Drosophila melanogaster: one gene and its partners. The protein of the gene in region 3 interacts with the protein of the main gene of each other region in a biochemical or structural test. Each region holds a gene or a part of one and is shown on either strand. Other genes may lie near its edges. The genes, in order: sqd, nej, Art1 and pAbp.

Region 1 (8,033 bases), 2.9 Mb from region 3:
AAATTAGAAGGTTTTTATATTCTGCGGTTGTTGTTGTTTGCTTTGTTTGATTATTTCTTTCTGATTTTGTTGCTGGCCAGGCCAGCTCTATGCGGCTGAGGCTCTACTTAGAACTGCTGATAGTTGTTGCTATTGTTCTTGTTTTGATGGTAATTACTCGACGTGTTGTTATTGTAATAATTGTTTTGAGCACTACTTTGTTGTTTGTTGTATTTACCATAACCGTAGTCATATCCATTATAGTAGCCGCCGGCATAGTAGTCGCCATAACCACCGGCACCATATCCGCCGTAGCCGCCGCCATAGCCGCCGTATGATCCCTGTCCGTCCCACTGGTTGTTGTAGCCTATGGGATGGTGTGAAATATATAGTTTAGAGCCGGTTTCCATAAGAAGCAAAAATGCACTGCTTCGTTAGCGGCTGTACTAACCACCTCGTCCTCCGTAGCCACCGCGTCCGCCGCGCATACCACCGCGTGGTCCACCACGCATACCGCCCATCATCTGGTTCTCCGGCTTGGGCGTCGCACGCTTAACATCGACCTCCTTGCCGGCGATCTTCTGCTTGGGCGTCTTCAGCAAATCTGTCACCACCTGCTCCGAATCGAAGGTGATGAAGCAGAATCCTTTGCGCTGCGACTTTTGCTTGTCGAATGGCATCTCCACCTCGACGATCTTTAAACAAAAAGAATTTAAGTAAATCATTATTGGCAAATTCCAAAAGGTCTACCGCTTTAGGGTTACTTACATTGCCGAACTGTCCAAAGTAGGTCTTAATCTCCTCATCGCTGATCTCTGTGGTGAGGCCGCCGACAAAGATCTTGCCGTGCCTGGCCTTGGCCTTCTTGGGATCGACCTTCTTGCTGTTGATTATGTGCTCATCCGCGGCGCTGACTTTGTCAATGGCCTCGGTGTTTGTAAACACGATGAAGGCGAATCCTCGGGACCGACCGGTCTGGGGATCTGTCTTGACATTGATGCTCTCGATCTCGCCATATTTGCCGAAGTGATCGCGGAGTTCCTCTGAAATAATAGAAAAGCAACTTGTTAGCATTTGTTTATTTACTTCGTTTTAGTTTTATACTTACTCTCAGTCGTTTCCCAGCTCAGACCACCGACAAACAGTTTCCTGCGAAAGTTTAAAGATTAATTGGTTAGATTGATGGTATCTTAAAACATTTCAATATAGATTTAGGGAAATATTTTGGTAGGAAAAGGTTTATCTGGGAAAATCAGGCACGAAAAATAGGTTGTGTTTGATGCGCGAGGCAAATACTTTCTTAATTTACTTTAAATTTTTTCTTCTCTTACTGATTTTCGTATTGGCTGCAAAAGAATTTGATGACTGGGCAAGAATACAAAACGAATAAAAAAAACTCACCAAATTTGAAGTGAAAAATTGCTTTAGTTACTGTATTGCAATCAAAGAATTGATCGGATAGTGTCAAAATACTTGCAAACTCGGAATGAGCGAAAGAGTTCGAGGAGCGAGCGAGCGATCGATCGAGAGACACAAAACGAGCGAAAGATATAGATATATAGTATATATAAGATATGCAAGAGTGAATTATTAAGTTTTTGTTTTGGGTATGCTTAAGAGTCTTTGTCTGTACAAATAACAATTAACAATTAGTCTTTATTCAATAGGATGAGAGAAAAGAATGCAAAGGTTTTTATGCTGGATTGTGGTTAGTTTTACTTTCTTTATTTGGCTGTTTATTTTATTTTATATTTTTTTTTTTTTATAAAAAGGAATGTTGAAAAAATATGCAGACACTTATAGTTTACTATGATGTGTACGTTACTCATTGATTTCTGGACTTTTTGGAAAGATATCTCATCGTTCTCGGCGGATTCCCGGCAAATTTGGAACAGTCTCATCACACGGCGGCGGAATTTCGATTGCAATTTAGTGATTTGTGCTTCTTTTTTGTGGCAATTCGTTACGTTACATTCGTTCATTGTGTTTCTTTCTTCGGGCGATATATAATGTATAGTTTTTGAGCTTCATAAAACAAAACGAAAAAACTGCGAGTCTCTTTTTCACTCGGTCTCTCTCTGTCTCCGATTACTTGGTACTTTTTTGTTTTTCTTTTTTTTTTAGGTAATTTACAAGTTATACGTTAAGAGATACAATACAATATATACTCGTATACAGTTTACATATGGATCCAATTTTAAATCGAGATTATTTCTTGATAATTTTGTGTGTTGATAGTTCTATATATTGGCTGACTGACTGATTGTTTGTTTGTTTTAGTTTTGGATAGATAAATACCATCAGCATCAGTATCGGCGGAGCGGAGACTTTTGGAGACTGGAGTGTGGAGAGGGTTGCATATCCTCCAAGTATAAGTCCGCCGAATCCGAATCCGAATCCGTAACCGTTTGCCGGGGGCAGGAATACGAATCCAAATCCATATCCGAATCCATATCCGTCTTGAGCATAGCTTAAAACCCTGACCTGGGGCATTTCACTTCTCTCAAAACCTGCCGGAGAGGAACAAGGTTAGTTCGCTCACAAGACAACAGGATAAGCTATGATTTTCGATTTAATTTCTCCATTTCGTCCTTCTTCCTTTACGGGGAATAATCTGCATCTGCTTCGTCAGCGCTGGTTTCGTATTATCGTTTAAATGTACAGTATCGTGTGACTTAAGATTAAACTTAGATATAAAATGATCATAAAGGATGGGCAAATGAAGTGTACGCTAGACCTAAAAACCAAAACGCAGGGGAGCAAACAAGAGGACCATTCTACTTGATCATCATTATCTCTATGCTTTAATCCATCAAAATTATTTATCATTTATAATTTACATTAATTGTTCGTTAAATTAATATTTTGGCGCCTTGGCAACTCCAAACAACGCCGGCTGTCGCTCTCTGAGAGTAAGAGCGCGCAAAAGAGGTGGCGAGCGAGCGAAGCCGGCAAGCAAGAGAATAAGTGAAAACTGCAAAACACGCACACACCTACAGAACAGCGGGCGTTAGGTTGGTATGTATGCCTGTATGCAGCCGCCATTTTGGGTACAAAACTGGAAGAGCACAAAATAACAACGAAATAGCCGAAACAAAGAGTAATGCGAATTAAAAAGAATACACTGACAAATACAAACATAACTTTTTCCAACGTTTTTTTTCGCCACATTTTTTGCAAGTGAAAGGCAACCGTATGATTTGTGTTCGTATGCGTCACAGTGTGTCTGTGGGGCAACGTGGGAAACAAACATAACCTCACAAAGGGGAGAAAATGTGCTCCTAGCTTAAGAAAACTCTGGTTTTCATTGCGGAAAGTGCGTGTGTGTGCAGGGGAAAACGTTGAAAATTTTCCATGTCTCCCGAGACTGTGATGATGCATTTTGGCCCGAAGATTCTATTAATATGACTGAAGTACAGTCGCACCGACACCTCACACACACACACTTAAACACACTCCGACGCACGAGCGCAAGCGAGAGAGAACACAAAAGGGGTCAGACTTCCCCCGCAGAACCCCGTAAAATCCAATGAAACTCGACCAACGACGTTAGCTTTGCATTTACGTAACAGAGTAGGCAATATACACTATGTAGAAGCAGAAAATCTATGGGGGGCACATGATCATCGGTTGCCCGTTGCAAAAATAAAAAAGAACAAAAAAAAAACGTATCCGCCGGATAATGGACATACCTGTCGTCGTCCCGCTGGCCGGATGCGGCCGATTGGTTGTCCGAACTGCCGTTGGTCGAGCCGGCGGCGCCCGCATCACCATTTTCAGATCCCGGACCGTCGGCAGTCACGTCCTTGGTGAAATCCTCGCCGTTTATTTCTGTATCCACTTGCTTGTTCTCGGCCATTTTGTGTGTTTTCGACTGATCTACTAATTTCGGGGGCTAGGCAGCACGATATTCGTTTTTTACGCAGAGCCGGAGATTTTTATACACACTCGCCAAAAAGTCGCGCGTACGAATGAAATGACGACCGGAAAATGATAAATGCAAACGACAGCGTGTGTATATGGGTGCGGCGTTGCCACCTTGATGTTTTCCCAGTCAAGTCGATTTGGTATTATTTTGGTAAATATTTGTATTGTATTTGCTTGCTCTACCTGGAGATTGTTAGCTATACATTTGCCAAGGATTAAATTGGGATTTTCTGTACGATACCACCCCAAATAAGCCTATATAAGGAGCTAAATGGGCGCGTGACTTGTCTGCTTGCAGTATGGCAGCTTTGATTTATACAATGTACACACACCTATGAAGAGAAAATGAAAAGAATACCAAAAATTTTATACAAATATTTTAAAGCCCAGTTTACACAATGGACAAGTTACTTGGTTTATAAATTCATTTTAGTTGTATTAAAGGTTTAAATATTTAAATAAATATTAAGTATTTCATAAACATTTATAATTTTATAAATATAAAAAATACAATGTTCATTATTTACTATGTGTTGGGAACGAAAACAACATTTACATACAAAGAATTGTTTAAAATCGAATTTTCATATTAACTTCTTATAGGCTGAAACATCAACAATATTTTAAATCATTTAATTGGTTTATATTAAATATTTTTATTTTTTGCAAAAATTTATACAATTTTCATATTCGGATTTCCCAACAGGTTATAATATAACGTTATTATGGTTTTTATTTATTTGCTATATAAAATGTTTCCTTTAAAGAAAGGTGTTTCATGAGCTTACTCAAAAAATCGGAAATGGCTAAAATGAAAATAAGTTTTATAAAACTATTTAAAAGAAACTTAGCGCCCCTAAAATGAGCTTAATTGAGCTCAAATATGAAAATATCAAATTCATCAAAATATTCTATGGAACATACTAGATTAACCACCCCAAAAAAAGAAGTGTGTGCACACCCTTGGAAAAGCCGCCATCATTCACACACCAACACACGCGAAACCAAGAATAAAACTGTGCAGAGGCAAAAAAGAGGAAAAGAGGAACGAACGTCGGTTCTCTTCTCGATTCAACACACTTGTCCAATTTCATTGCGTTTGCGATTATTTTCTACTCAAAAGCCACAACATATGCATCGTAACTTAATTCAACAACAACTGTGATCGCCAAACATCAGAAAGCAACAAAAAATACACGTCAAGAATTGCCAAGTTAGTTATTCTCAAAAAAAAAGACAAAAAGAATTGCAACAAACTAGACTAGTGTGTGTGTGTGAGCGAGTGAGTGCATTGGTGTGTGTGGCTGTGTGTTTTGTGTGCAGCTTGCAATTTTATACTGCATTTCATACGTTTCGACTATCGTTTTGTAAATTAAAAAAACCGCATAATTTCAGCGCTCCACTAAGAAATCCAACTCTCCCCGCCCCCCGCAGGAAGATAACAAAGAAAAGTGCTACAAAAAGTGCCGATTTTTCGGCAAACTTCAACCCAAAAGCAATACACACTGTGCATTACAAAAAGGAAAAATAAAAACGAGGAAAAATATCGCTTAAAAAAGGTGAGCCGGCGACGGCCTCGTGTGCGCGGTCTAGAAAAACTAGCATTTTCCATTTTCAAAGGGGTGGCGCATACTAGGAAAAAATCAACATAAAAAATGCTAAATGGGCGTATATTTTATTATTGCGGCAGGGCTCTATCTCTTAAATTTTTTTTTTTACCATTTTAGCGGCTTTTTTTATTATCGCTTGTGCATAACCTAAAAATGTACGAAAAATTTTGTTTTTGTACATTTTTGTTTAAATGCTGCTCTTCAACTATAGCTTTCTTTGTTCTTCCTACACACGCGGTTCGCAAGCAGAAATAGAGTGGGAAAGAGAGAACCCGAAAGAGCGGCGCGTTCATAACCGAATATGTGTGCGTGTGGGTTTGCCGCAACTCATTGTGCATTTTTTGTTTTATCGGCAAATGTTTATGGCTAAAATGGGGCAAAGGACACCTGCAAACATTGATATTTACTTACACCTTTTAACGCTATTTCAAGTGTTTTTGCAAGGCAGCAATTTGATATTTTGGCCAAGCTGGAGTTCATTGTATGCGGCGCCACAACCTTGAGACCCGAACATAACCTCAATTTAATTCATGCTCCTCGCTTGGCGGCTTCTTTTTTTTCTTTGCCAAATTGTATGAGGTCATTTACTCGCGCACACACACACACGTGCAAAGTTCAGTCAGCCAGGATCGCAGGCATAAAAGCTGGAGCACGTGCAGGGTTAAATGTCCTGCGACGGCAAGCAAATTGGAATTTTTCCTGACAGCTGCACTACACCAAATTTCCCCTTTTCGCATGTGCAAATGTGTGTGGGCCCCAAAAGTGGGTCAAACTGCAGCGCGCTGCGTCTGTTTTATATGCACTGCGGTAAAATGAGCTCCCTGTTTTGGGTGTACAAACCTCCCCCCCTCCCCGCCGTCCTTGTGACCAAGCGAAACTCTAGATCCTTATTGGAGAGCACAGCAGGGGTCAACACTTTGGTAGTCAGTCACATTTCTCTAGAAATTTATGTAAAAGAAGCACAGATTGATTTAATGGACAGTCTGAAAATCCAATTAAATTTGTTTCTTATATTTGCGTGTTTTACCGTTATCAAGCCTTAATTCTCCAAATTAAATTTACACGTGATGAAATTAACTGATAACACAACTAGTGATTCATTATGGTTTCTATACTTTTACCGGCACAGGTATGAATAAGCCATCTTTGAACACCTTTTGGAGATTGTAAGAAACAGGGTAGCAGCTTCCTTTAATTTCAAATTATCAGATTGAAAAATCTACACAGTCGTCTAGGACTTTTGCCAACTTTTCTTTTTTTTTATTAAAAAAACCAGACAGATTTTCATAGTGCGCGTATATTTTTTGCACTATTTCGCAGACGTTCCCACACTCTCAATCGACACAGATCAGCCACCGTGTCGATAGATCCGAGCAGCAGCTAGAAAGAAGGGAAGCAGAAATTGGAAGCGGAGACAAAGAATCCGAGTCGAAGAGTCCGTAGTTCAGAGAGGAAGAATCAAACGCCAGCTATGGTCATGGATGCGACCCAATCGCAGCAGCCTTCGCCGCAATCTGTGGGACGCGAGTTTGTCCGCCAGTACTACACGCTGTTGAACAAGGCGCCCAACCACTTGCATCGCTTCTATAACCACAACTCGTCGTACATCCATGGAGAGTCCAAGCTGGTGGTCGGTCAGCGGGAGATCCACAACCGAATCCAGCAGCTGAACTTCAACGATTGCCACGCGAAGATCAGCCAGGTTGATGCCCAGGCCACTTTGGGCAACGGTGTGGTGGTTCAGGTCACCGGGGAGCTATCCAATGATGGCCAGCCGATGCGGCGTTTTACCCAGACGTTCGTTCTGGCCGCTCAGTCGCCGAAGAAGTACTACGTGCACAACGACATCTTCCGCTATCAGGATCTCTACATCGAGGACGAGCAGGATGGCGAGTCGCGATCGGAGAACGATGAGGAGCACGATGTGCAGGTCGTCGGTGGCACTGTGGATCAAGCTGTGCAGGTGGCCGGCGATGTAGTTGCCCAGCAGCCGCAGCAACAGCAGGCTCCTCCGCAGCCACAGGCTCAGGTCGTGGTGCCCCAGCAGGTAGCTCCTGTAGCGGCCGGTGGTGCTGCCCCACAGCAGATCTTCTACCCATTGCCAGCGGGTGCTGCCGCCGGACGTCCTGTGGCTGTTTTGCCACCAGCTCCGCAAGCCGCTGCTGTTCCACTGCCCGCGCAGTTCACCGTTCCGCCGCCACAGCCCATCCAGAACGGTGTGGTGTCGCACGAGGAGCTGCAGCAGCAGCAGGTGCTGGTCCCACCCAGCGTGTCTCCCCTGGTACAGCAGCAGCAGCCGACCGGCACGCCTGTGTTGCCCATTGTTCCAGTGCCAAGCGCGGGCTTCCAACAGTCGCCACTGGTGGCACCACAGCTCATCCAGCAGCAGCAGCAGCAGCAACCGGCACAGCTGCCCCCGCAGCAGCAGCAGCAGCAGCAACCTATCCAGCAGCAGCAGCCTTTGCAACAGCAGCAACAACCGCTGGCTGAGCCCGAGGAAGTGGAGGTGGCGCCAAG
Region 2 (7,844 bases), on a different chromosome or scaffold from region 3:
GGGCACATCGCGATTGGCGCCACCAGGGCCGCTAGATTGTACGGCACCACCGGCTCCGCCGCCTGCCACTGCCGGCACGCCAGCCACGGTTCCTGCATTGGCCACAACGCCTGCTCCTCCGATTCCGACTCCCTGCTGCTGTTGCTGCTGCTGCGAGGTGCCAGGCTGCTGTTGCTGCTGCTGCTGCTGGCCGGGATGACCGAGCAGCTGGTTTGGTTGCGGAGGACGCGGGCCCATGGCTCCGGTTTGCTGCTGCGCCAGCATCTGCTGCTGCTGAGGATTCCCGCTTACCAGCTGCCCCGCGGGCCCTGATCCATCGCCGCCGAGTGTGGACATGGGCACCACTGTGCCAACGGGCCGATTACCCTGCGGCATGCCCGGTACGACGCCACCTCTTTGGGCCATCTGCTGGGCGAGAAGTTGTTGCTGCTGTTGCTGCTGCTGTTGCTGAGGATTGTTACCACCGCCTGGGCCACCATACTGACCCACTCCGTAGGGCAGACTGTTGAGTTGAGCTGCAAACGGACGGAAATCTTACATCAGCCATCGATTCAATTCCATGCTGGAAATACACTAGATCTGGCACTAGAAACTCACTCATTTGCATGTTCGGATTCTGCATGCGTGGTCCTCCGCCACCAGGCCCGTTTCCTGGCCCACCAGCTCCTCCAGAGGCACCCATGAGATGCGGGCCACGAAGCATATGCTGTTGCCCCACCATGCGTCCCATCATTGGGCCGTTCTGCATATGCATGCCTTGGTTTGCGGCAACGGCTCCTCCGCCGCCAGCTCCAACGCCACCAGCTCCTGCTCCAGGTCCTCCGGGTACTGAAACGGAATTGATCATCCCACCGCCGCCGCCGCCAGGCTGCTGCTTAAGATGATTAACCATGCCGCCCATGCCGCCGCCAACGCTGTTGGTCAGCACCATGTTTCCCAGATTGCCCTGCGCAATGGTGTTCATGCCTGCGAAAGATATAACATAATTTGGGTTTTCAGATAATTGTTGCTATATTCATTTGGTTGCATTGGCTAGGATAACTTGGATATCCAATTACAAGGAAGAACGATTAATCACCTGGTATGGCGTTCATGCCATTGTTGCCATTATTCGATATTGACATGGGCATTGAGTTGACCATACCCATCTGAGTGCCCACCACCTGCTGCATGCCGCCCTGGTTGGGTGACTGCAGGTTGGGCGACTTGCTGCCCAGCTGCTGCATGCCGGGCACCACCATGGCGCCCTTCTGGCCCTGCTGCTGCTGCTGGAGTAGGTGCTGCAGTTGCTGGTGTTGCATTTGACTGATTCTGTTGCCCGCTCCTGAGCCGTTGCCACTGCCGTCGTCGCCACCCGTTCCGGATCCGTTGCCGCCGCCGGCTCCGTTCATCTGGGAAGGCACAACGCCGACGCCAACAACACCGCCGACACCCACATTCACTCCAACACCGACTCCGCCTGTGCCAGAGCCGGGTCCTTGGGCTGCCGGCTTGTTGGGTCCGCCACCGGGATTTGGGCCGGATGTGGGATTTGTGGTTACACCGGAGGCGCCGCCACCTCCATTGCCACCGCCTGCTCCGCCGGTCAGCTGATCCGACCAGCCACTATTCGAGGACACCAGCTCATCGGGCAGGTTCTCCTCCAGAAAGTAAGAGATATCCGCTGGAGGAAGATACAACCAAATTGTTTTTAGCAAGGAATTTTCTTAAAAAAAAAAATAGTTGGATAGAATTAATTGCTTTTTCAATTCCGTAAGGAATTTATTAAAAATTATGAAATAACTGGAGAATACAAGTTTGATAAACTAAAACTAAAAGTTATTAACAAAAAAAAAAAAAAAATGAGAAATCGAATATTCTGGTTTCGGTACTCACTTGGATCCATTTTAACCCGCTTTTGGGGCGGTTCGTCTAAGTGATCGGCCATCATATAGAGTTAGTTTGATTCTTTCGATTCGGAAAAAAACAGAAACGCAGACGAAAAACGTTCGAAAAATCTGAGTAGTATTGTTTCTATTAGTTTATAAAGTTTTTCTGATTTTTCGCTTTTTTTTTTCACTAACTCTCCAATGATCCGTCTATGTTGGAGTTCGAGTGTGTTCTGATATTTTCGTTATTGGAACTTGTCAAATCTTCTTTCAGAAATTATTTGTCGCCTAGCACTTTGACAATTGTTGCACAGGTTGTTTGTTTGGTTAAGTGTTTAGTGTTTTAAGTTGTAGATTTCTTGATTAGTTTGGACACTTTGCAACACACGCACGCACAATACACAACACACAAAGAGGCACTCAAAAGGCGTGGCTGGCGAGGATTGGGATTTGGTTTTGGTATTGGTGTTTTGGGATCTTGTAATCGATGATGTTGGCGATGCTTGCACTTAATGATGATATTAACGCTGCTGCTCCGCTTTTTATTGCTAAGGATGTGGCTTCTGTTGTTGTTCTTGTTGCAGTTGTTGTTGTTGATTTAGATAATTCCTTTGCTAATTGCCGCTGCAACGACAGCAACAACGTAGCCGGCGCTATCGTCACCGCAACGTCAACGGATGGAGCTGACCACCACCACGTCGTCGGACCTGTGCCCGCTGATCCTTCTGCTCCCACACCCACTTCCACTCCTTCGCCTTTTCCCTCTCCTTCTGCCGCTTCCGCTGATCCTGGAGGATCGCGCAGCCACCACCGCCTTCTCGTTGCGGCGCCGTTGAGATCGTTGTCGCCGCCACTGGCGCTTTGGCCAGCAGACAACTTTTCCACCGCCTGGTGCTCCTCCTGCTCCTGCTCCTCTTGATGCTTGTTCTTATCCTGCGTCCGCTTGACCAGTACCTCTTCTTCTTCTTCGACTTCGGCCCTGCGCTTTTTTAGCTGCAATTTGTTTTTGCTGCTGCTGCTGATGCTGCTGTCGTTGTTGTTGTGGTTACTGCTGCTGCTGCTGCTGCCGTCGTTGTTCTCGTTGTTGCAATTGTTGTTTGTCGAACAGCAGCAGACACACGCGTGCATTTTGTGTTGTTGGGCCCCAAAAACACCAAAAGTTGACCTTGGCTGGGCGGCTCTTGTTATTGTTTGTTTGTTTGTTTGTCTGTTGTTGCCTGCCTGCCTCCACTGAGCGAAAAAGAACGGTTCTTGGTTTGGCTCTCTCCTCTTTCTCTTCCTTTTCTTTCCGCCTTTTTCTCCGCTATCTTACATATTTTATGTGATTTGTTTTTGGCGGCTTTTTGTTACACAGGAATATATATATATATATATAGATATTTTGACCATATATTATATATGCTTGTGTTTAATTTTGATTGCACTTGATTCGGTTATCGTTTACAATTAATAAGGAAAAAAAAGCAATTCACATTGTTGGCTGTTGTTGGGTTTGTTGTGTTTCGGTTTGTTTTTGTTGCTGGCGCGCTGCTGTTGTTTTTGTCGATGCTGATGTTGTTGCTGCTGCTGCTGCTGCCGACGTTTGCCGCTCTAGCATTACACATTAACTGCAAACGCACAAGAAGAATAATACACAGCCTATTAGATTATGTTGAATGGACGAACACAAATCGAAAGCAATATTTATTTATTTTCTTCTTTCTTTTTTGTAATTTAGCCGCGCGCGAGTGGACAGCGAAACCGAGGGGAAAATGGAAACAAAACGAAACTAAAATGCGACGAGACGTGCCGAAGACGGGGCGAAAAGGGAAGAACAACGAGAACAGTACCGAGAATTCTCTCGGTCTCGTTGCACTCATCTGTGTGCCGCTTGACGACCACTCACTCTCTCTCTCTCTCTTGTCTGTTCTTGCCTCGCAATTTTATTCGCCAATACTACCAGCGCTGTACTCGTTATTTTACTCGCAGACGTGTGTGTTGGCCTCTCGCTCTTTTGGCGCACACCACGAAAATGAAAATAATAATTTCATTTTGCCGCCAGTCCCCTAAAAAATATGGAAAACAAGTGCCGTCGTTGGCAAAAATATACTTTGAAACATGCTTAACATTTTTATGACAAATACATTTTTGGAAAAAAAATTTCACACCTTTACAGGTAATAAAAGTCAGAGCACTGCTTAAAAAAATTAATTGAAGTATCAGCCAGTTGCGGCTGTAGTCTATAGTCTAGTTTATAAATTAAATGGCCGAAAAAGTGGCCGTATTTTGGTTTTGCTTCCGCATTCGAGCGGCCATCATATGAAATTCAATTTGTTGGGGCGGCGAGTGGCGAGTGGGGTGCGAGCGGGATGACACTAGAGTGCAGTGGGGCTGGCTGACAAAAGCTTTCACACACTCACGCACGCACACATTTGGGGTTTGGGGCGCGCGTACAGAATTCTCACAGCGACGCCAACGCCGTTTTCACCACACAGTTACACACACGCACACTTCGAAAACAGCGAGTTCGTGCAAGAGCGAGCACGAGTCCGAGAGAGAAAGCATGCGATGGTATTAGTGCCAAGCGGCATTAGTGTGCAATATACACACGACGGTAAACGGCAACGAGTGCGAGGAGCATTGGAAAAAGAAAGAAAAACAGACGACAGAAATATATTCCATTTTTTTTCTGTGTTCGTTCGTCGTTTTCGTTTCGTTTTCTTCTTCACGTCGTTTCAAAGTTTCTATTGCAGAAATTTTTTGTGTTGTCTCCGCCAGAGCGTTTTTCATTTTTCCCGGCCCACACAAAAATCGCAAAAATATTTGGCGAAAATACGAAATTCAAGAAAATGCCGTAGAAAATTTGAAAAAAATTTCAGCCCGATTTTGGCCGGTATTTTTATTTTTCCACCGTCACCGATTGCCACGCACTAAATTTCTAACTATACTTTGCAATTTTGCCGAATTTCGGTTTTATACCATATATTTTTCACATTTTCCGGCGATTTTATAAAAATCCCACAAACTTTTTCGCAACACTAAAACAAAAAAATTTCAGTCCGCTTGTGTTAATCGTTCTCCGAGCCAAAAATGTTTTTGCTTCAGTGTGACCGCGGCTAGCCGTTCAAATACACCACCGAGCTCGGAAATACACTAAAATTGACTGTTTAACACAACACGCGAGTGGGCTCTCGTCGCTCTCGCGTGCTGTTTGGCCGCTGTTGTCGTACTGTTACGACCCGAAATCCATATAAATGCCTTTGCTAGCAGTCTGTTGGCCCCGTAACAGCTGTTAACCGCTGTCGGAACACTGTTTTGCTCTAGTCCCTCGCTCTCTGCGTCGGCGAGACCGCTCACGCCATGCGCTCCCAAAGAGCCGATACGCACACACGCGCACACATATGGCGCGCCAGATAACGAAGCAGCGAGTCCAGAGATGACCACATGATGACGGTGACACATTCGCCGATACTTTTATGCGGTCACTTGAAAATGTGCACAAAGAAGTTTTGTAAGAAACATCATTGGTTGGAGACCAACATCATTATGAAATGAATATTCTTTGCAGCGTTTTTGAGATCAAATAGGTATTCCAAAAAGATGTTTAATATGAATTAATAAATCAACATCTTGAATGAGTGCAGTTGTTTAGAATTTTTTGTTTAAAAAAGTATTTGTAGACATTAATTTTGAAAACGTTTGTCCATCGTAAAAATCTAGTTTAAAGTTCTTCAAAGGAAAAACGATATTTACAGAGGATCACGTAAGTAATCGAGTCATTGGATTTGCGCATCTCTGGTGGGTTCAGTGTTAGCGTGTTTTCCGTTCGCTCTTGCCGTGAGAGACAAAGAGAACGTGTGAGAGAGAGGCAAGCCGAAAAATCAGCCGCCGAAGGATACACTATCGTCGTCCTTGTCCGACGAACCGGTGGTCATGCAAACAACGCACAGAACAAATTAATTTTCAAATTGTTCAATAAATGTCCCACTTGCTTCTGTTGTTCCCCCCTTTCCGCTAGCGGAATTTTTTATATTCTTTTGGGGGCGCTCTTTCGTTGACTTTTCGAGCACTTTTTCGATTTTCGCGCGCTGTCGAACGGCAGCGTATTTATTTACAATTTTTTTTGTTAGCGGCCGCCGTTGTTTGTTGCAGATACACAGCGCACACATATAAGCTTGCACACTGATGCACACACACCGACACGTTGTCACCGAAATGAACGGGACGGCCATATGACTGGCTGGCGCTCGGTATGTGGGTGCAAGCGAGATACCGCGATCAAGACTCGAACGAGACGGGTCAGCGAGTGATACCGATTCTCTCTCTTTTGCGATTGGGAATAATGCCCGACTTTTTACACTACATGCGTTGGATCTGGTTATTTAATTATGCCATTTTTCTCAGTATATCGGCAATTGGTTGCATTAATTTTGCCGCAAAGTAAGGAACACAAACCGATAGTTAAGATCCAACGTCCCTGCTGCGCCTCGCGTGCACAATTTGCGCCAATTTCCCCCCTTTTCCAGTTTTTTTCAACCCAGCACCGCTCGTCTCTTCCTCTTCTTAACGTTAGCATTCGTACGAGGAACAGTGCTGTCATTGTGGCCGCTGTGTAGCTAAAAAGCGTAATTATTCATTATCTAGCTATCTTTTCGGATATTATTGTCATTTGCCTTTAATCTTGTGTATTTATATGGATGAAACGTGCTATAATAACAATGCAGAATGAAGAACTGAAGAGTTTCAAAACCTAAAAATAATTGGAATATAAAGTTTGGTTTTACAATTTGATAAAACTCTATTGTAAGTGGAGCGTAACATAGGGTAGAAAACAGTGCAAATCAAAGTACCTAAATGGAATACAAATTTTAGTTGTACAATTGAGTAAAATGAGCAAAGCGCCTATTTTGGATAATATTTGCTGTTTACAAGGGGAACATATTCATAATTTTCAGGTTTAGGTTACGCATATGTAGGCGTAAAGAAATAGCTATATTTGTAGAAGTGCATATGCACTTTATAAAAAATTATCCTACATTAACGTATTTTATTTGCTTTAAAACCTATCTGAGATATTCCAATAAGGTAAGTGCAGTAATACAATGTAAATAATTGCAAATAATGTTGTAACTAAATACGTAAACAATAATGTAGAAGTCCGGCTGAAAGCCCCAGCAGCTATAGCCGATATCTATATGATTTAAACTCTTGTCTGCAACGTTCTAATAAATAAATAAAATGCAAAATATAACCTATTGAGACAATACATTTATTTTATTTTTTTATATCATCAATCATCTACTGATTTCTTTCGGTGTATCGCCTAATCCATCTGTGAAATAGAAATGGCGCCACCTAGGTTAAGAAAAGATAAACAGTTGCCTTTAGTTGCATGACTTCCCGCTGGATGGTGTTCAAAAAGCTATTACATAAGGGTGGGTGTCATGGCTATTTGCTCTTTGGGTTATTGTATTCGCTGTTTAAAACTGCGCACACAAATAATATTTTAGATTTAATGTAAGACAATTTGTATCAATAAAAAAAAAACAAAGTGAGCTTCGGTATTTCGATTTAAATTTGTTTAACAAAGTAGGCATTGAACATAATTTCAATCACAAGACAACCGACCCACAAGCAAAACCCTCATTTCTACTTTGACTCCCAAAGAAAACACACAACGTAAAAATTATCGAATAACAAATACGTTTTGGAAAATTTAGAATAAAACATGAAAGTACGAAAGTCAAACCAGGAAAAGCCAAAAAAAAACAAAATAAGAAAAACAATACATAGATCATTTAAAGCTAAAAATAGGCTAGCTAATAAAGTGCCTCGAGCACGCACTTTAATGCTTATGGTGGAGAATGAGATAATGTATAATAAAAATATTAATGAACAATTACCTGCACGGGTTATTGACGATTCAGATCCGCCGAAAAGCAATACACCAGAATCCGAAACGTAATGTAAGTTGTGCATAGATTTAAAACTAAACTT
Region 3 (7,013 bases):
AACAAAATTGGATGACATTTTAGAAGGTAAGTGTGGAAATTAGTGTTTATACAACAGCTCATTGCACGGATAATATAAGTAACCCGTATACTCGTGTTTTAGCCGCTTGCTCACCTCCCGCAATACTCACGATACCGCACCGCCCGACAAAAATGCCGCGATATAGGGAGTGGGACTTGGCCTGCAAGGTGTACGTGGGAAACCTGGGCTCCTCGGCGTCCAAGCACGAGATAGAAGGCGCATTTGCCAAATATGGACCCCTGCGAAACGTGTGGGTGGCCCGCAATCCACCAGGTTTCGCCTTTGTCGAATTTGAGGATCGCCGTGACGCGGAAGACGCAACGCGTGCCCTGGACGGAACACGCTGCTGCGGCACTAGGATTCGCGTAGAGATGTCTTCGGGTCGCTCGCGCGATCGCCGGCGCGGAGAAGGCGGCAGTAGTGGTCGCTCTGGTTCCGGACGCTACAGGTAATTCCACGACAAAAAAACTGTACTTCTCATGTTACTTGGCTCAATGTGTCTCCCAAATGGAACAATGGATCACTTGACTCCAAAAATTGGGTACTTTCTTCAGGTTTCTAAGCATATGATGGCGGTCTTGCCTGTAACCGTCAAAATTAATCAATCCTTATCAAAACGTATAAAATTTGTTATCGAAATTTCATTGGAATCGTCGCAAAAAACATTAATTGCGAATAGCAAACATGTACATTTTCCCGCCTTTTTCTGCACGTGATAGAACAGCCTTCGAAATGTCAGTTTTATGAGTACTTCTTCGCAGGCTGTTTTATTCATGTCCAACTGACATCACATCGCTATTCATAACATTTCTAATTAAAAATTGACTTGGTACTTTATTTAGACCAAACTTACAAACTGTATACATATATTATCTACGATCCAATCATTTAGTGGTTGTTAAATTCGAGTTATCGACACTTTTTCAGGATAACTCCTTCGGCTAGAACTACTTCCACTGCTACTTCTTCCTTCTACAACATCAACAATCTACAACAGCAACCATCTTCACAGCCACAGCCAGCAACCTTCAACTTGCAACTCTAAATTAACCATGTTCAGCGTCACAGCCTCACAGAAGTTTTGATTAGCAACCCAAATGATTTCATCCTAGAAGAAGCAATGCAGTCGCCCAAAGAGTTCTTTTTTAAAGTTATCCTGCGTATCCTTCAAATAATTGCTTACAATTATTTCTTTAATTTAGTTGCCTATGATATGAGGGTTCGTCCGCTTTCTCAAGTACTTGACTCTGATGTCGAGAAAACTGGCCTTGAACGCGTTTAACGCTGATGATCACAGCTACTATAGATTTGTTCGACCATTTTCTTATTGCATATGTATCCGACAAAGTAGAAAGCTTTAAACTCTAATTATAGGATATCAGTTGGTAATAGATAGTAAATGTAATTGCAGCAGCTAAATGTAATAGCAGCATTAGCAATAATACTCTTATCTTAATTGGTTCACAGCTTAATTCATAGAAACAAAACAGTTTGCACAGCTTTCATTTTTGTTCCCCCTGGTAATTAGTTTAAGTAACTATTTAGCAGTATTTAACACTCCTATTTTGCAGCTCTTTGTAAGGCGCGTATGTACATACACTTCTTACCATTCTAAGCTGATTTAAATAATTTTATTAAGCTTTTAAGTAATCATTTCTTCTTTACCAATGCGTTTATTTCAGGTCACGTTCGCCACGTCGCTCCCGATCGCCCCGCAGCCGCAGCTTCTCGCGCGATCGTCGAAGTCGCTCGGATTCTCGGGATCGTCATTAATGTTTCCAAAAGGATATCGTTTAAGCAGTGTCGCATCAAAGAACAAGCCGGCCAAGGCCGTATTTTCTGTAGGAATTCCTATGTCGATTGCGATCCAAGTAAATTTACTTCAGATGACAATATAAATCTTTCGATGCATTCTTGAAATTCCTTTTTTTTTTTTACTAAAAAATAAAGACGCACAATCAGCGAGTTTTGATTGGTTTCATATATCATCAAAAACAGTTTGTTTCCAGCAAAAGGGGACGTGCTTAGTGCACTGTTTATTATGTGAGAATTGACGTGCTGCTGTACAACTTGCTTAGAAGTATGTTCGAATAATAATTTAAACAGGCGCACGAGTGTAAAATATTATGTATACTAACAAAGGTACACTTTAAACTTAGGAGAAGACGCAACACGAATTCGTTGCACATTTCGCACTGGAATAAACCTTACGTCTAGTCATTGTATGTATCCTCGCTGCAGGGCTCTGAGCCCCATCCCAAATGGCAGATCGGATTGGTTATGGCTGCCCCTAGCGCATGCGGTATGTGTTCGACTCCTGAATTTGAGACAATTCGCCCTTGAAATTAATGTCGATGACGAAGTCCAGGTCACGGTTGTTCCGCTCGTTGGGCTTCATCTGGAACGTGCCAGTGATCTCCTCGTTCTTCTTTGCCGTCATGTGGTCATCGAGGTAGAACACGGTTTGCTTCCAATGCGTGTATGTGGAGTCTGGTGACGTACTGAACCCAAGACGCTTGTGGCACTTGGTGAACTCTATATTAAAGTAGGTGACTAATGCCTGCACGAAGTCGTTGCGCTTGATGCATAGGCTGAACTTGGACGAGAAGTTAAGATCGGCCTTTTGCACGGTATACAGATCCACCTCCTTGACCATGCAAGATGTGGATACCACTTGCTTGGGATCGACCACGTCGACCAGTGGCTCGGTCACGGCCACCTTACGAATGCAGCTCATGTCGAAGCCGTAGACATCGTCCCACCAGTTGATCTTCTCGTCCTTGTACTGTCTGTCCTCGATGGCCGTGATATACAGCGTGCCCCTATCTGGGAACATCATGCCGTCCTTCTTCAGCCACTTGTCCCGAGCGTACAACACTGTATCCAGCATGGATTCGTAGAACAGGCAGTAACTAAATTAAGGAAAGAAATTAAAATGGTTAATATGCTAAATCAAATATGACCACTTTTTAAAAGCTTAACTACAAATGAAAACCTACCCCATCCACTCGGAAATAATAATGTCCACTCCCTCAATACCATTTGGAAGCTCAATCTCCTCAATCTTGCCCTTGACAACCGTGATTACATCCTGCAGATTGTTGTCAATGACCACTTGGCGGGCAAACTCAATGATGTTGGAGCAGTCGACGGCAATCACCTGAGCAGCACCGGCTTTGGCAGCGAACATGGAGAGAATGCCGGTACCGCAACCCACGTCCAGTACGGTCTGCAAAGAGGAGATACCCCGGTGAGAAGGGCTACGAAAAATGGGGAAACCCCGGAAGTTAACCCTACCTTGCCCTGAAACAGATGCTTGTTGTGGTACATGGCGTTGCGGTATGTGACGGTGCGCACTTCGTCCTTGAGCATCTCCTCGTGGATCCCGAAATGGGCATAGGAGTCAAAGTAATAGTCGCGGGACGTCATCTCGTCGGCGTTGGCATTGGGATTATCACCGGTGGAGCCCTCCGCGGGCAGCTTCTTCGCCACATTGTTTGAGTTCGCATTTGAATTGGGCGTGATGCCGGTCGCCGATTCCACAGCTGCCTCCATGGGAATGTCTGTGCTGGCCTGCGAATCGGGTTCGTCAGCTACTGGCCTGTCGATTGCCGTCACATTTTGACCAAAACTTACCATTTTCTAATTTCTTCGGCGTCTCTTTGGTTTTTCACGTCGAAAAATTGGCGACTAAATGATGGGACTGTTTCTACAGCACGCTAGTTTAAAAGGTCGCTTATCAACACTGCCCCCGCACAAAAGCTGGAAACAAATATCGCCAGCTCGATATTATTGGATTTTTCTGAAATTTTAGTATTTTTGAGCTGGGAAGAATTGGAGTCAGTTGTCTAAGGCATGTTCCATATAATCGAGTAAAATAATCTTTGTCATAACATCAATAAGATATAATAAATACGTTCATGGTTTATTAACTGCTGCAATGCTTGTTGTATTGGTCCTATTTCACTGCTAACAAAAATACATAAACTGGGAAACACGTTTCATCGATAGTTGTAAATAAGATCCGATAGTTTTACTGGTAAGTGCTCATCTCTAGCTACCGCTTGCCCGGTAATTTTGGCGGCAAAATATTCGCACATCGCATTTACTAAAAAACGAAATATAAAGCGAAGCAGAAGTAGCGTCTATTACCTCAGTTCTTCTTTTTAACTTTGTTTACCCTATCAAAATGGAAGGCTTCGACGATGCGGGTGTGTTCTTTTCGGACAATTTCGGCGGAGATAACCAGCAGGATGCGCAAATCAACTTGCAGGCGGTAAAGAAGAAGTACAAGGAGTTCATCCGGACATTTAACGAGGAGAACTTTTTCTACAAATACCGGTAAGTGAACTGCATCTCCTCATCTGAACCCCATTTAAGGTAATCCCCCTGCAGTGACACCCTGAAGAGGAACTATCTTAATGGTCGCTACTTCTTGGAGATTGAGATGGAGGATTTGGTGGGCTTCGATGAGACCTTGGCTGACAAGCTGAACAAGCAGCCGACGGAGCATTTGGAAATCTTCGAGGAGGCTGCCCGGGAGGTAGCCGACGAGATCACAGCTCCCCGGCCGGAGCACGAGGAACATATGCACGACATCCAGATTCTTCTGAGCTCCAATGCGAATCCCACCAACATACGACAGTTGAAGTCGGACTGCGTATCCAAGCTGGTTAAGATCGCCGGAATCATTGTCGCAGCCTCAGGAATAAGTGCCAAGGCTACGCGGATGTCTATCCAATGCCTGTCCTGCAGCACGGTCATACCGAATCTCAAAGTGAATCCAGGTTTGGAGGGCTACGCCCTACCCAGGAAGTGCAACACGGAGCAGGCGGGCAGACCCAAGTGCCCGCTGGACCCCTTCTTCATCATGCCGGACAAGTGCAAGTGCGTCGATTTCCAGACCCTTAAGTTGCAAGAGCTCCCCGACTTTGTGCCACAGGGTGAGATTCCCCGCCACTTGCAGCTCTTCTGCGATCGCTCGCTCTGTGAACGCGTGGTGCCCGGCAATCGCGTGCTTATCCAGGGCATATACTCCATTCGCAAGGTGGGCAAACCCTCGCGTCGGGATGGTCGCGAGAAAGCCGTCGTTGGAGTCCGTGCTCCTTACATGAGGGTGGTGGGCATCACCGTCGACTCAGAGGGTGCGGGTGCCATCTCCCGATACAGCAACATCACATCCGATGAGGAGGAGCACTTCCGGCGAATGGCCGCCTCTGGGGACATCTACGAACGTCTCTCACAGTCACTGGCGCCCAGCATCTTCGGCTCTCGGGATATCAAGAAAGCTATAACTTGTATGCTTTTTGGCGGGTCTCGTAAGCGTTTACCGGATGGTCTGTGCCGTCGAGGCGACATTAACGTCTTACTGCTGGGAGATCCTGGTACTGCCAAGTCACAGTTGTTAAAGTTTGTGGAGAAGGTGGCACCCATAGCAGTCTACACTTCGGGCAAAGGCTCCAGTGCGGCTGGTCTCACGGCTTCGGTTATGAAGGATCCTCAAACGGTGAGAAAAAACATTGCACACCTAATCCTTACAAATTAAATGATACATTAATCTTTAGCGTAACTTTGTCATGGAGGGTGGAGCCATGGTGCTGGCCGATGGAGGCGTGGTTTGTATTGATGAGTTCGACAAAATGCGAGAGGATGATCGTGTGGCCATTCACGAGGCCATGGAACAGCAGACAATATCCATTGCCAAAGCCGGCATCACGACCACCTTGAACTCACGCTGTTCGGTCTTGGCAGCTGCCAACTCCATTTTCGGTCGATGGGACGACACCAAGGGCGAGGAGAACATTGACTTTATGCCCACAATTCTCTCCCGTTTCGACATGATTTTCATTGTAAAGGATATTCACGATGAGTCGCGGGACATTACGCTGGCCAAGCACATCATCAACGTGCATCTGAGCTCTAACAAGTCAGCGCCTTCAGAGCCGGCTGAGGGTGAGATATCGCTGTCGACGTTCAAGAAGTATATTCACTACTGCCGAACTCATTGCGGTCCGCGCCTGAGCGAAGCTGCCGGCGAGAAGCTAAAGAGCCGCTACGTGCTTATGCGCAGTGGAGCCGGCCAGCAGGAGAAGGCATCTGACAAGCGGCTAAGCATTCCCATCACTGTGCGTCAGTTGGAGGCTGTCATCCGCATTTCGGAGTCGCTGGCAAAGATTCGTTTGCAACCGTTCGCCACAGATGAGCACGTGAACGAAGCACTTCGACTTTTCCAAGTGTCTACCCTTGATGCTGCGATGACTGGCAGCTTGGCTGGAGCCGAAGGATTCACGACCGAGGAGGACCAGGAAACACTCAACCGCATCGAAAAGCAATTGAAACGTCGCTTTGCAATTGGATCTCAAGTATCGGAGCAGAATATCTTACAGGTAAGCACAGAAGTCTTATGAATCGAATGAACAATTTTTATTTATAATGCTTGCTTTTCATAGGACTTTTTGCGTCAGAAATACGAAGAACGCACGGTAATGAAGGTAATTCATACCATGATCCGACGTGGAGAGCTGCAGCACCGGATGCAACGGAAGATGCTCTATCGAATTTGCTAAACACTGTTAATCACTTCATTTCTTGTCCATCGTTGAATATGTCTTCAATCATTTCGTCACATTATTTGTATTTCCATTTATAGTATTAAGATAAACTACATTCTTTCCCAATAAACCAAATTGAATCATTATTTTATTTATTCAAATTCTGTTAAATATTTGAACAATAATTCAGTGATGTATTTAATAGCTAGAAGTTTACAGAATAGATACTCTGATACTTGTAGTGGGAAATCCTAGGTATTTCAAGTGCATAAGTCAGTCGAGCCGGCAGACTATATGTTTGGTAAATATTTATGATTGTTTACATTTAAAAAATGAGATTATAAGCAATGTCTAAATTCTGTTTGTTGATAATGCTTGGTCGAAACACATAGACCCTTTGGTCGGCCTCCAAATTTTCGCGCAAACCGACAATTTCGCTCT
Region 4 (8,672 bases), on a different chromosome or scaffold from region 3:
ATATGGCATCTCATCTCATATGAAAGCAATATCATATATGTATGTTAATATTAAATAGATATTAAACATAAAAATCCATCCCACCCACATTCCGCTGAAAAATGAAAACACTCGCTTTTGCCGAAGTGGAATTTTATTGTAATTAAATTTGTTGGGTGTACAAAGGTATGTTTTAAGGACTTTCTCTCTGCATTTATTACAATTTCTTCAAATGGTTTTAATTGCTGGGCTTTTGCTTCGAAGACGGGCAATCAAGTTTCAAGAATCCTATTTTCTTTAATCATACAAATTATGTTTTATTTCGCTTTAATATATAAGGATACATATATATATCTGCTATATATAGAAGTGTGTTGACTTGCGTATATTTCGTGAAAAGTAAAAGTTTTCTTCTTCGCAATTTCCCTTGAACTAACATTCCAATTCGGGTTTTGGTTATGTTTTTTTTTTCTGTTTTACTCTCATTATTTTGTTTGTTTGTTTTTTTTAAATAATTTTGCATTTTCTGCATACATGTGGTTTTGTGTTTTGCAATTTTTTCAATGATTTTTCCTTGGGTTTTTATTTGTTTTTAGTTTTCGATTTGTTTAATAAAAAAATATGTATTTCACTGCCCAGAGCGAAAGCCATTTCTTACTTCCGCTTGCGTTAATATATCATTTTATGTATGTATGGTGTAAAAACATCATTTACTGGTAAAACTCTCGATATCCTTTGTAACAGAAATCGGAACGCAAATGAAATCGAGGCGACTTACCAGCTCCTTCTCATTAAATACATATATGTTCTTGCAAATGTTTATAAATGTATGCATGTTTTTCCTTCTCTCGGATAATAGTGTAATCATAAAAATCCTGTCTGCTTTTTTGTTGTTTATTAATATGCTTCATAAGTTGTTTACGCTTTAGCGCTTTTCATGTGTTTCTTGTATTTCTCATATATGTTGTGGTTGTTTAATATGTGTGTTGCTGTGTGTGTGTTTTTGTGTTTATATATATTATTTTTTTTTTGCTGTTTTTACATAGGTTTTGCCATTTTTTTGTAGTTTTTTCGATTTATGTTTTGTTTTCATTTGTCAACATATTTTTTCAGCTGTTGGTATTCTGTATTTTCTCTCTTTTTTCAAAGTAGCAAAAACTTGACTCTCATATTCTTGCGGTTTTCTTTTTCTTTCTTTCTTTCTATTCTTCTGTTCTCTGCACAGTTTGCTTTCCATTTTTTCGTTTTTATTTTAACTCTTTTGCAATTTTTTTGTTTTTTCTTTGCTTTTTTAAAAGTGTATGGTTGTCGCGTTTCTTTTTCTAAACAAAGCTTTCTTAAAGTTTGAATTTGAGAAAAAAGAATTGAAAAAAATTACATATCGCTTTCGTGTTTGTTGTTGTTTGAAAGTGTGGATGGAAAAAGTGTACGAAAAACTCAATATGTATGTAACACTAGAAACTTCTTTAAAATTTTTAAAACACAATTTCAATACTTGCAAGAAGCGGTTTACATGTATGCTTTGCTTTAATCTGTTTATTTTGCAATGGTTTTTTGGTGTTTTCATTATACGCATACAAAATAATATCGATCCAGTTAAAGCAATAACGAAATTTTTTTCATTTCACATTTTTCCGTTTTTTTTTTTAATTAACATGTTTATGTAAAAAAAAAGAATTTATAAGTGGACTGCAGAATTTGATTGCGTGACTTTCTTCTTTTGCTTCGTGTACTTGCGTAAATGCGTTCGAAATTAAATGATTGAAATTGCTTTTGTTGATGTTTCTGGGATTAGAAAAGAAAAAGCCGTAGATTTTTCGCTTTGTTTTTCTGTGTTAATTGTGTGTCCTTGGCAATCCTCCCCTGCGCAAAGCATCAGTGAATGCGAATTTTTGTTGTTCATGTATTGAAAGATTAGTGGAAAACTGCAAGGACAAAAGAGAGGCGAGTTTAGACAGCTTGAACTTTTCGGAAAATTTGTAGACTACTTACTTTTTGGGTGTAAAGTGTTCTTGTAAAATGTTCATACGCTTGAGCTGTTCGAGCTTAGTTGGCGGGCTCGGTGACGCGGTGCACCTGAAGCACGGCCACAGCCTCCTCCACCTTGGCCTTAAGGGCCTCCTGATCCTCGATCATGTGCAAGAGCTCAGAGTTTTCGATCTCCAACAACATGCCGGTGATCTTACCAGCCAAATTGGCGTGCATATGCTCAATCATCGGATACAGACGCTCGCCCAGGATCTGTTTCTGCTCCTGCGGCTTGGCGTTGGCCAGCAACGAGGCAATGAGCTTCTCAGAATCTGCAAGAAAAATAGCAATGGTGCCATTAGTGACAAATTGTGCATATTTTCAGTCGACCTAAAACTTACTCTTTCCTTGCAATTGCTGTGGAATTGGCTGGGTCTGATGCAACTGTGGCACTGGAGGATTGCGCATGTTTGAGGTGTACTTATAGTTGGAAGTACGCTGCTGGGCACCGCCAGCGATTTGGGCTCCGGGGATCTGCATGTTGGGTGCTGCAGTTTGCTGGCCAGTAATAGCGCGTGCTCCAGTGTTGCGCATGTTGTTAGCCGCAGCAGCGGCGGCATGTGTGCCCTGCACCTGAGGCTGTGCCCCGCGAGCGCCAGCAGCAGCCGAACGGAACTGAGTGGGCACCGCACCGGCTGTGCCCTGGAAGCCACCAGCAGCGGCAGCTCCGGCCTGGACACCCTGTATGGCTGCTGGGGGACGCACCTGGGGCACCCAGCGGGGTGTGTTTCTCATCTGAGTGGCCACCTGGGAACCGAAGAAACGCTGATTTGACGGAAGGGTCGGCACAAAGAAGCCGCTAGCCGCGTTGGGCTGGTAGATCTGTCCCAGCTGCTGCATACGCATGCCGGTCATGTGACGCATGTACTGCGAGGCGAGATGAGCCTTGCGCTCCTCCTTCCTTTGGGCCAAAGCAACGTACAACGGCTTACTGCCGACGACGCGACCGTTCAGCTCGGTGACGGCGCAGGTAGCCTCGCTTGCGGCATTGAAGCACACGAAGCCGAATCCCTTGGAGCGACCCTCCTCATCGGTCATGACCTTGGCCGATGTGATGTTGCCGTATGGAGAGAACGCGATGCGCAGACGATCGTCATCGATTGTGTCGTCCAGGTTCTTAACGTACAAGTTAACGCCGAACACAGACTCGTGACGCTTCTGCTTCAGTTCCTCGAACTTGCGCTTCAGCTCCTGCTGGCGTTCGGCCTTCTTCTGGGCACGAGCCACGTACAGGGACTTGCCCTCTCCCATGTCCTTGCCATTGAGAGCCTGAACGGCCGCCTCAGCAGCCTCTGTTGTCTCGAATGCAACGAATCCGAAGCCCTTGCTCTTGCCATCCTCCTTGGACATGACCTTGTAGCTGGTTATCTTGCCGTAGGGCTCAAAGAATTCCTTCAGTTTTTCATCGTCGAAATCCTCAGTGAAGTTCTTCACATATACATTGGTGAAGAGCTTAGCCTTCTCGCCCAGCTCCTTCTCGCGCTCCTTGCGCGGGATGAACTTACCCACGTAGACCTTCTTGCCGTTGAGCAACATGCCATTGACTTTGTCGATGGACGTGTTTGCGGCCTCCTCGGTCTCGAAGTGGACGAATCCATAGCCCTTTGAGTTGCCCTTTTCATCGGTGGCTACCTTGCAGCTTAAAATGTTGCCGAAGGCGGAGAAAGTGTCGTAGATTGCCTTGTTGTCGATGGCCCTATCTAAGTTCTTGATGAACACGTTGCCCACACCTGAGCGACGAAGAGAAGGATCACGCTGAGACCACATAATGCGAATGGGCTTGTTGCGAACCAGGTCAAAGTTCATGGTGTCCAAAGCACGCTCAGCTGTTGATGAAAATCGGGAAAACATTTGGTTACTACCGACACGATTTGGGTATATCAAGATCATTATAAGTTGAAGGGGCTTAAATAACAATGTGACTCTTCAACTTCTGCACTGGCCATGAGCAAAAGCAGCGCAGTGCATGGTAAGTCAAGTCTGATCTTTTATCTGGCAACTATGAATCTTAGTCGTGTCAAAAAGGGTTGAATCTGACCAACCAATGGGTAGGAGTTGCTAGATGTCTAAATACAAGGACAATCTTATCAGTCTAATCATGTGATACATTGAGTGTTTGTTATGCAGATGGTATGCAAAACCCATCAGCATGGTAAGTCGCATTGCTTTCTCTGGCAACTATGAATCTTAGTCGTGTCAAAATGGGTTAAATCTGACCAACCAATGGGTAGAAGTTGCTAGAAGCTTAGATAAGAAAGGGCATAATCCTTCGAGTCTAATCATATGATGTATTATTTAGTGTTTGTTATGCTTCTACTTCTGTGGATGGCATAGATCAGCCATCTACATGGTAAGTTGCATTGCTTTCTCTGGCAACATTGAATCTTAGTCGTGTCAAAAAGAGATAAATCTGACCAACCAATGGGTAGGAGTTGCGAGATATGAATCGAAAAAAGAAAAACATTTAGGGTGTTACTAGTCTAGAACGAGATGGTATCATTTTTGAAAGGTCTGTTTTTCCAACCTAACCTTAACAGCTAGAGTTCAAGAAACTTGCTGGAATGCGACAGACTTTCACACGCAGCGTAATCATCACCAACCGCCAGCTTTGTGCCATTGTGCGCTTAATTGAATAAACAAATGTAAGCGAACAACGGGAATCGAAGAAGCACCAACTATGCGCAGTGAAAGTTTTGTTTTCGTTTTTTGTAAAAACAAGATTTTGATGGTTAAAAGAGAGGCCGAAAAGCAGTTCACTGACATGTCAAGAATTTGGAAGTGTTGATGGATGGAATGCGGAGAGTATGGAAGATATGAGAAAGTGAAAGCAAAACAAAAGTTGGAGGCAGTACGAAAACTAAAGAGCGAACGTGCGGAAACTCAGTTAATGGAATATAACCTAAAATAGATGAAGGCCAAAAAGAAATGGTCCAAACAACAATGAACACATGTTTTTGCGCGTCGGCGTGTGCGTGCGCGCAAGTTTGCCGCTTGGAAACAACACACATCACACGAATAAAACGAGAAGAACGGGCAAGGAAACAATGAAACCACCAATGGGCGGGGCTGCGATAAGCAGTTTGGGCAGTATGGAACCATATTATTCCATCATAATTGCAATTTTGTGCGAAATTGAGACGGAAATTTCTAGGCGAACAGTTGATGAGTGCCACGAGCCAGCTGTTTAGCCCCCATCATCCCCCCGCACAAATCGTATACATCCAGAATAACTGGAACTGATATAATCATGTGTGTGTGTGTACACACTGGCGGGAATTGAGTGCGTGTGTGTGTGCGCGACGAGATTAACGTAAGCAGTGCACTGTGGAACAAGTTATGAAACACTTGGAAGCCGTTTATCTGGTCTCCTATGAAAGACATCTTTCAATAAAGTCCAGTTTGGACTTGCGTTTAGCCCCACTGTATGACATGCGCTAGTGTGCGTGCGTGTGTGAGTAAGCGAGTGCAAAACTGCACACGTGTTTTCTTTGTTTCGCGCGGAAGGGGGCTACTTTTGCGGGCAGTAAGACTAAAAAAATTACACTACTTTTGCGGGGATTACTCACCATCGGCTGGCTGCTGGAAGTTGACGTAGGCATAGCCCAACGAGCGACGGGTAATCACATCGCGGCAGACACGAATGGACAGCACTGGACCAGCAGACGAGAACTTGTCAAAAAGTCCCGATTCGTTGACGTCCTGTGGGAGATCACCGACGTATAGAGAAGCCATATTTGGTGATCAGGTCTACCTGCAATTTTTAACAATTAATTTCCACTTTTTTGACACTGAATTTTGGGTTTTTTCTTAATCTTTACGGACCGGATGGATTCGACCAGGCAGGCGGTGAAATAGAAAGAAAAAAAGCGGCGTGGCTTTCGGTCTTCTATTCGTCTCTCTGTCTGTGTGTCTGGGTGGCAACACTGGTACATGTGACAGTCGGTAGACATGGCAACGTTGGCATTTGCTTTGTTGTTGCTCTTTGCTCTCCCCTTTTATTTCTCTTCGTGTTGGAAAATTTCCACACAGACACAAAGATAGACACGCGTTTGCCTGATCGAATTTTGGGGAATTCTTTGATTTTCTCGAAAATATGCGACAACTAGTTCCTAGACCACTATTTTGCGGGCAATCTGGCGTTTATAGACGCCATCTTTGAGCGAAGAACGACCGCAAACAAAGCAAATTTCGATGGGAAAGGAAAATTTCCCTATTCGCTTTGTCGTGCGTTGCGCCCTCTCACTCTCTACACCATTGTAACCAATAGCTTTACACTGTACTTACTTCTCAAACACGCTCGATTTTTTTTGCTACTTTTTACAATTTTTTTTGTTACGTTTTTGTGTTTTAATATTTTTTTTTATTTTTTATATGTTTTTTCTTCACAAAAAATATGTGATAAGCCGTGTGCTGAAAGCGAATCCACGACCGCTCACGTAAACGGACTCTACACGACTCATAGAGAGGAGATTCGTTAGCGATGACCCCACAAAGTATCGATTAAATCCCACTGCACAATGCTGCCACATAGGGTTAGAGACAAATAAATGTCACTAAAAAATCCGTGAGGACAATTTACTAATTACGAAGCATTATTTTGAATTTCAAAAAAGCCAGCCATCACACATAAAAAATTTTTATATTTAGCTAATTCCCGAAACATGAAATACTTGTGCATTTTCAGGGGTTCTTTGGTAACTCTGCTTCATTTATGTTCTGATATTTTCGCCAATGTCCTTGAATACTTTGTCTCATAAAACACAATCCAAAATTAGGAATGCAGTTTTTTTTTCTTTTAAAAATGAGCGTAGACTTTTAGAAAATGATTTTTTGGCACTGCACAGATATTAGCGTATGCTCCGAAAACCGAATCCCATCTTTGTAATTCCCCACTGTGCGAACTTACCTAAATCAGAGAATAAAGCGATGAGGCTGCAAGTCGACACTCCGAGAAGTGCTTGAGTACTTCTTTTCGTTCTCGATGGAAATCGGCACTACAGAGATTGAAGAATTTTTTAAGTTTTTTTTTTGTGTTTTTGTTTTTACGAAATAGACCACATTCAAGGATGGCTGAGGATAATTTTTTTTTTCTTTTTCCCGTTTTGAACGTCTGGTGCATGTGCCCTATCTGGCGATCGAGTACCTAATGAAGCGGTGTGAGGCGTCGGTGCCTGACAAGCTTCAAAGCGAAGTGTCACTTTGGGCGCCTACTGGCGTGTCCTGAGTAAAATCTTAAAAGATTTGACATTTCGGAAACATTTATTTGGGCATTATATACTTCATTAAACATATTTCGATCTGGTTTGGCCAAACATTTACTTGGCTTGAGAATTAGTTTGCTTTCAACTCAATTTTGATTTTTCGTAGCATTTAATAGTTAAACATAAAACGTACTGGCTTAATTCATTATTGTGTAGTTTTGCCTAGACTATGGGTGAAAATTATTGAACTAGTCCTACATTTTATTAAATTTGTGTGTATGTATGTATATCAATTGTTTTTTTTTTGTATGCATGACATGATTTGTGAGTTTTCCCATTTGAAGGTATATTTTTCAAAAACATACATGGGCGTGGCGTATCGCTAAAGTACAGTACTGAACTTAACTGAATTGTTCTCATTATTTAATACGTTTTCATTCATCAGCGAATTTTACATAGGCTTCCAGATTAATCTTGTAATACTTTTACCAATTTTGTGAAAACTTATTTATGTTCTGCTGCAACACTTAACTGCCATTGCACAATTATAACCTGTATTCAGTTGCTTTTTGCTTTTTTTTCGTTTTTTTTTTTTACAATTTAACATTTTATCGCTTTAATGCTGAACCAATATTTTGAACAATCTTTTTCTATTTTGGCAGTGGGTTGGTAATAAACTTTTAAACATTAACAAATAAAGAGGCCCGTAGTTGGCAGCGTTCATTAATACATAATAACGAAAAGAAATGATAATGGAAATGAAGAATATAAAATTCATAATGAGTCGGTATGCCAAAGGGTTCAATTTCCAAGCAATCCAATCGCCGTTGTCGCTGTATCTCCGCCCCACTCCACCAGGTACTGGACCTGTCCATTTCCCATGCGCCGCTTGGCCCGAATGGCAAAGGGCTCACCAGCATCTATGCGATTCATAGCGCCACCAAAGTACTTGTTCACCGACTGCTTCAAGTCCAGCATGGAATGTCCTGGGGCTCCAATGCCGTTGCTGCTGCTGCTGGTTGCCGTCGAGCTGGTGGAGTTCCGGCGGCTTTGGCTGGGTGACTGCTTCTGTGGTCGCTGGCGCAACAGGCGCCCATGTGTCGGCTTTCCCATTGGCGGCGCGGGTGGCTGCAGATCTTTGGCATAGATAGGAAGGTAGTGGCTGGGTATGGGATTGATGGTGGTGGTGCTGATGACCTATTAAGTGGAAACGAAAAAAACATCTCAAACATTATAGTTACATTGTTGTTAGTTAAACTCTTACCTCAATGGCCGTGGTCAGGCGGCGAGTGCGTCGTCTGCGCACTTCCTGATTGGGCCCTATCGTAATGTCTTTGGCACTCAGTCTTCGCTTGATGGTGCGCACCATGCGCGGCTGCTCCTTGGAGGTGCCCTTAAGCTTGAAAATGCTGTTTATGATGCCATTTACTCCGACTCCAGTTCCCACAGAAATACTTCGTCCCT

Evidence for each region.
Region 1: of the proteins of Art1 (region 3) and sqd, one has a biochemical effect on the other in vitro, tested with the Drosophila melanogaster proteins (one study listed by BioGRID).
Region 2: of the proteins of Art1 (region 3) and nej, one has a biochemical effect on the other in vitro, tested with the Drosophila melanogaster proteins (one study listed by BioGRID).
Region 4: of the proteins of Art1 (region 3) and pAbp, one has a biochemical effect on the other in vitro, tested with the Drosophila melanogaster proteins (one study listed by BioGRID).

Annotation. Positions count from the first base shown.
Region 1 is NT_033777.3:13,642,082-13,650,114, forward strand, and holds the start of sqd (squid), read right to left. Parts: upstream 4,224-8,033; 5' UTR 3,839-4,223; coding exon 3,672-3,838; intron 2,490-3,671; exon of another isoform or gene 2,278-2,489; intron 1,129-2,277; coding exon 1,088-1,128; intron 1,023-1,087; coding exon 748-1,022; intron 675-747; coding exon 431-674; intron 347-430; coding exon 218-346; coding exon of another isoform or gene 108-217; exon of another isoform or gene 1-107. Other genes in the region: rin (rasputin), read left to right, coding at 6,988-8,033. UniProt on the Drosophila melanogaster protein: Component of ribonucleosomes. Could be needed to organize a concentration gradient of a dorsalizing morphogen (Dm) originating in the germinal vesicle. At least one of the isoforms is essential in somatic tissues.
Region 2 is NC_004354.4:9,680,677-9,688,520, forward strand, and holds the start of nej (nejire), read right to left. Parts: upstream 4,992-7,844; 5' UTR 4,874-4,991; exon of another isoform or gene 4,827-4,873; intron 3,476-4,826; 5' UTR 1,931-3,475; coding exon 1,876-1,930; intron 1,664-1,875; coding exon 1,079-1,663; intron 967-1,078; coding exon 598-966; intron 534-597; coding exon 1-533.
Region 3 is NT_033777.3:10,784,455-10,791,467, forward strand, and holds Art1 (arginine methyltransferase 1), read right to left. Parts: upstream 3,773-7,013; 5' UTR 3,661-3,772; coding exon 3,658-3,660; intron 3,595-3,657; coding exon 3,319-3,594; intron 3,251-3,318; coding exon 3,021-3,250; intron 2,934-3,020; coding exon 2,312-2,933; 3' UTR 2,027-2,311; downstream 1-2,026. Other genes in the region: Rbp1 (RNA-binding protein 1), read left to right, coding at 153-469, 949-1,066; Mcm5 (minichromosome maintenance 5), read left to right, coding at 4,211-4,362, 4,417-5,527, 5,586-6,407, 6,471-6,587.
Region 4 is NT_033778.4:18,138,574-18,147,245, reverse strand, and holds pAbp (poly(A) binding protein), read right to left. Parts: upstream 7,169-8,672; 5' UTR 6,914-7,168; intron 6,470-6,913; exon of another isoform or gene 6,292-6,469; intron 5,872-6,291; exon of another isoform or gene 5,830-5,871; intron 5,759-5,829; 5' UTR 5,740-5,758; coding exon 5,574-5,739; intron 4,445-5,573; exon of another isoform or gene 4,308-4,444; intron 4,247-4,307; exon of another isoform or gene 4,104-4,246; intron 4,068-4,103; exon of another isoform or gene 3,922-4,067; intron 3,834-3,921; coding exon 2,349-3,833; intron 2,280-2,348; coding exon 2,026-2,279; 3' UTR 1,972-2,025; intron 1,905-1,971; 3' UTR 1,011-1,904; downstream 1-1,010. Other genes in the region: Pcl (polycomblike), read right to left, coding at 8,010-8,405, 8,473-8,672.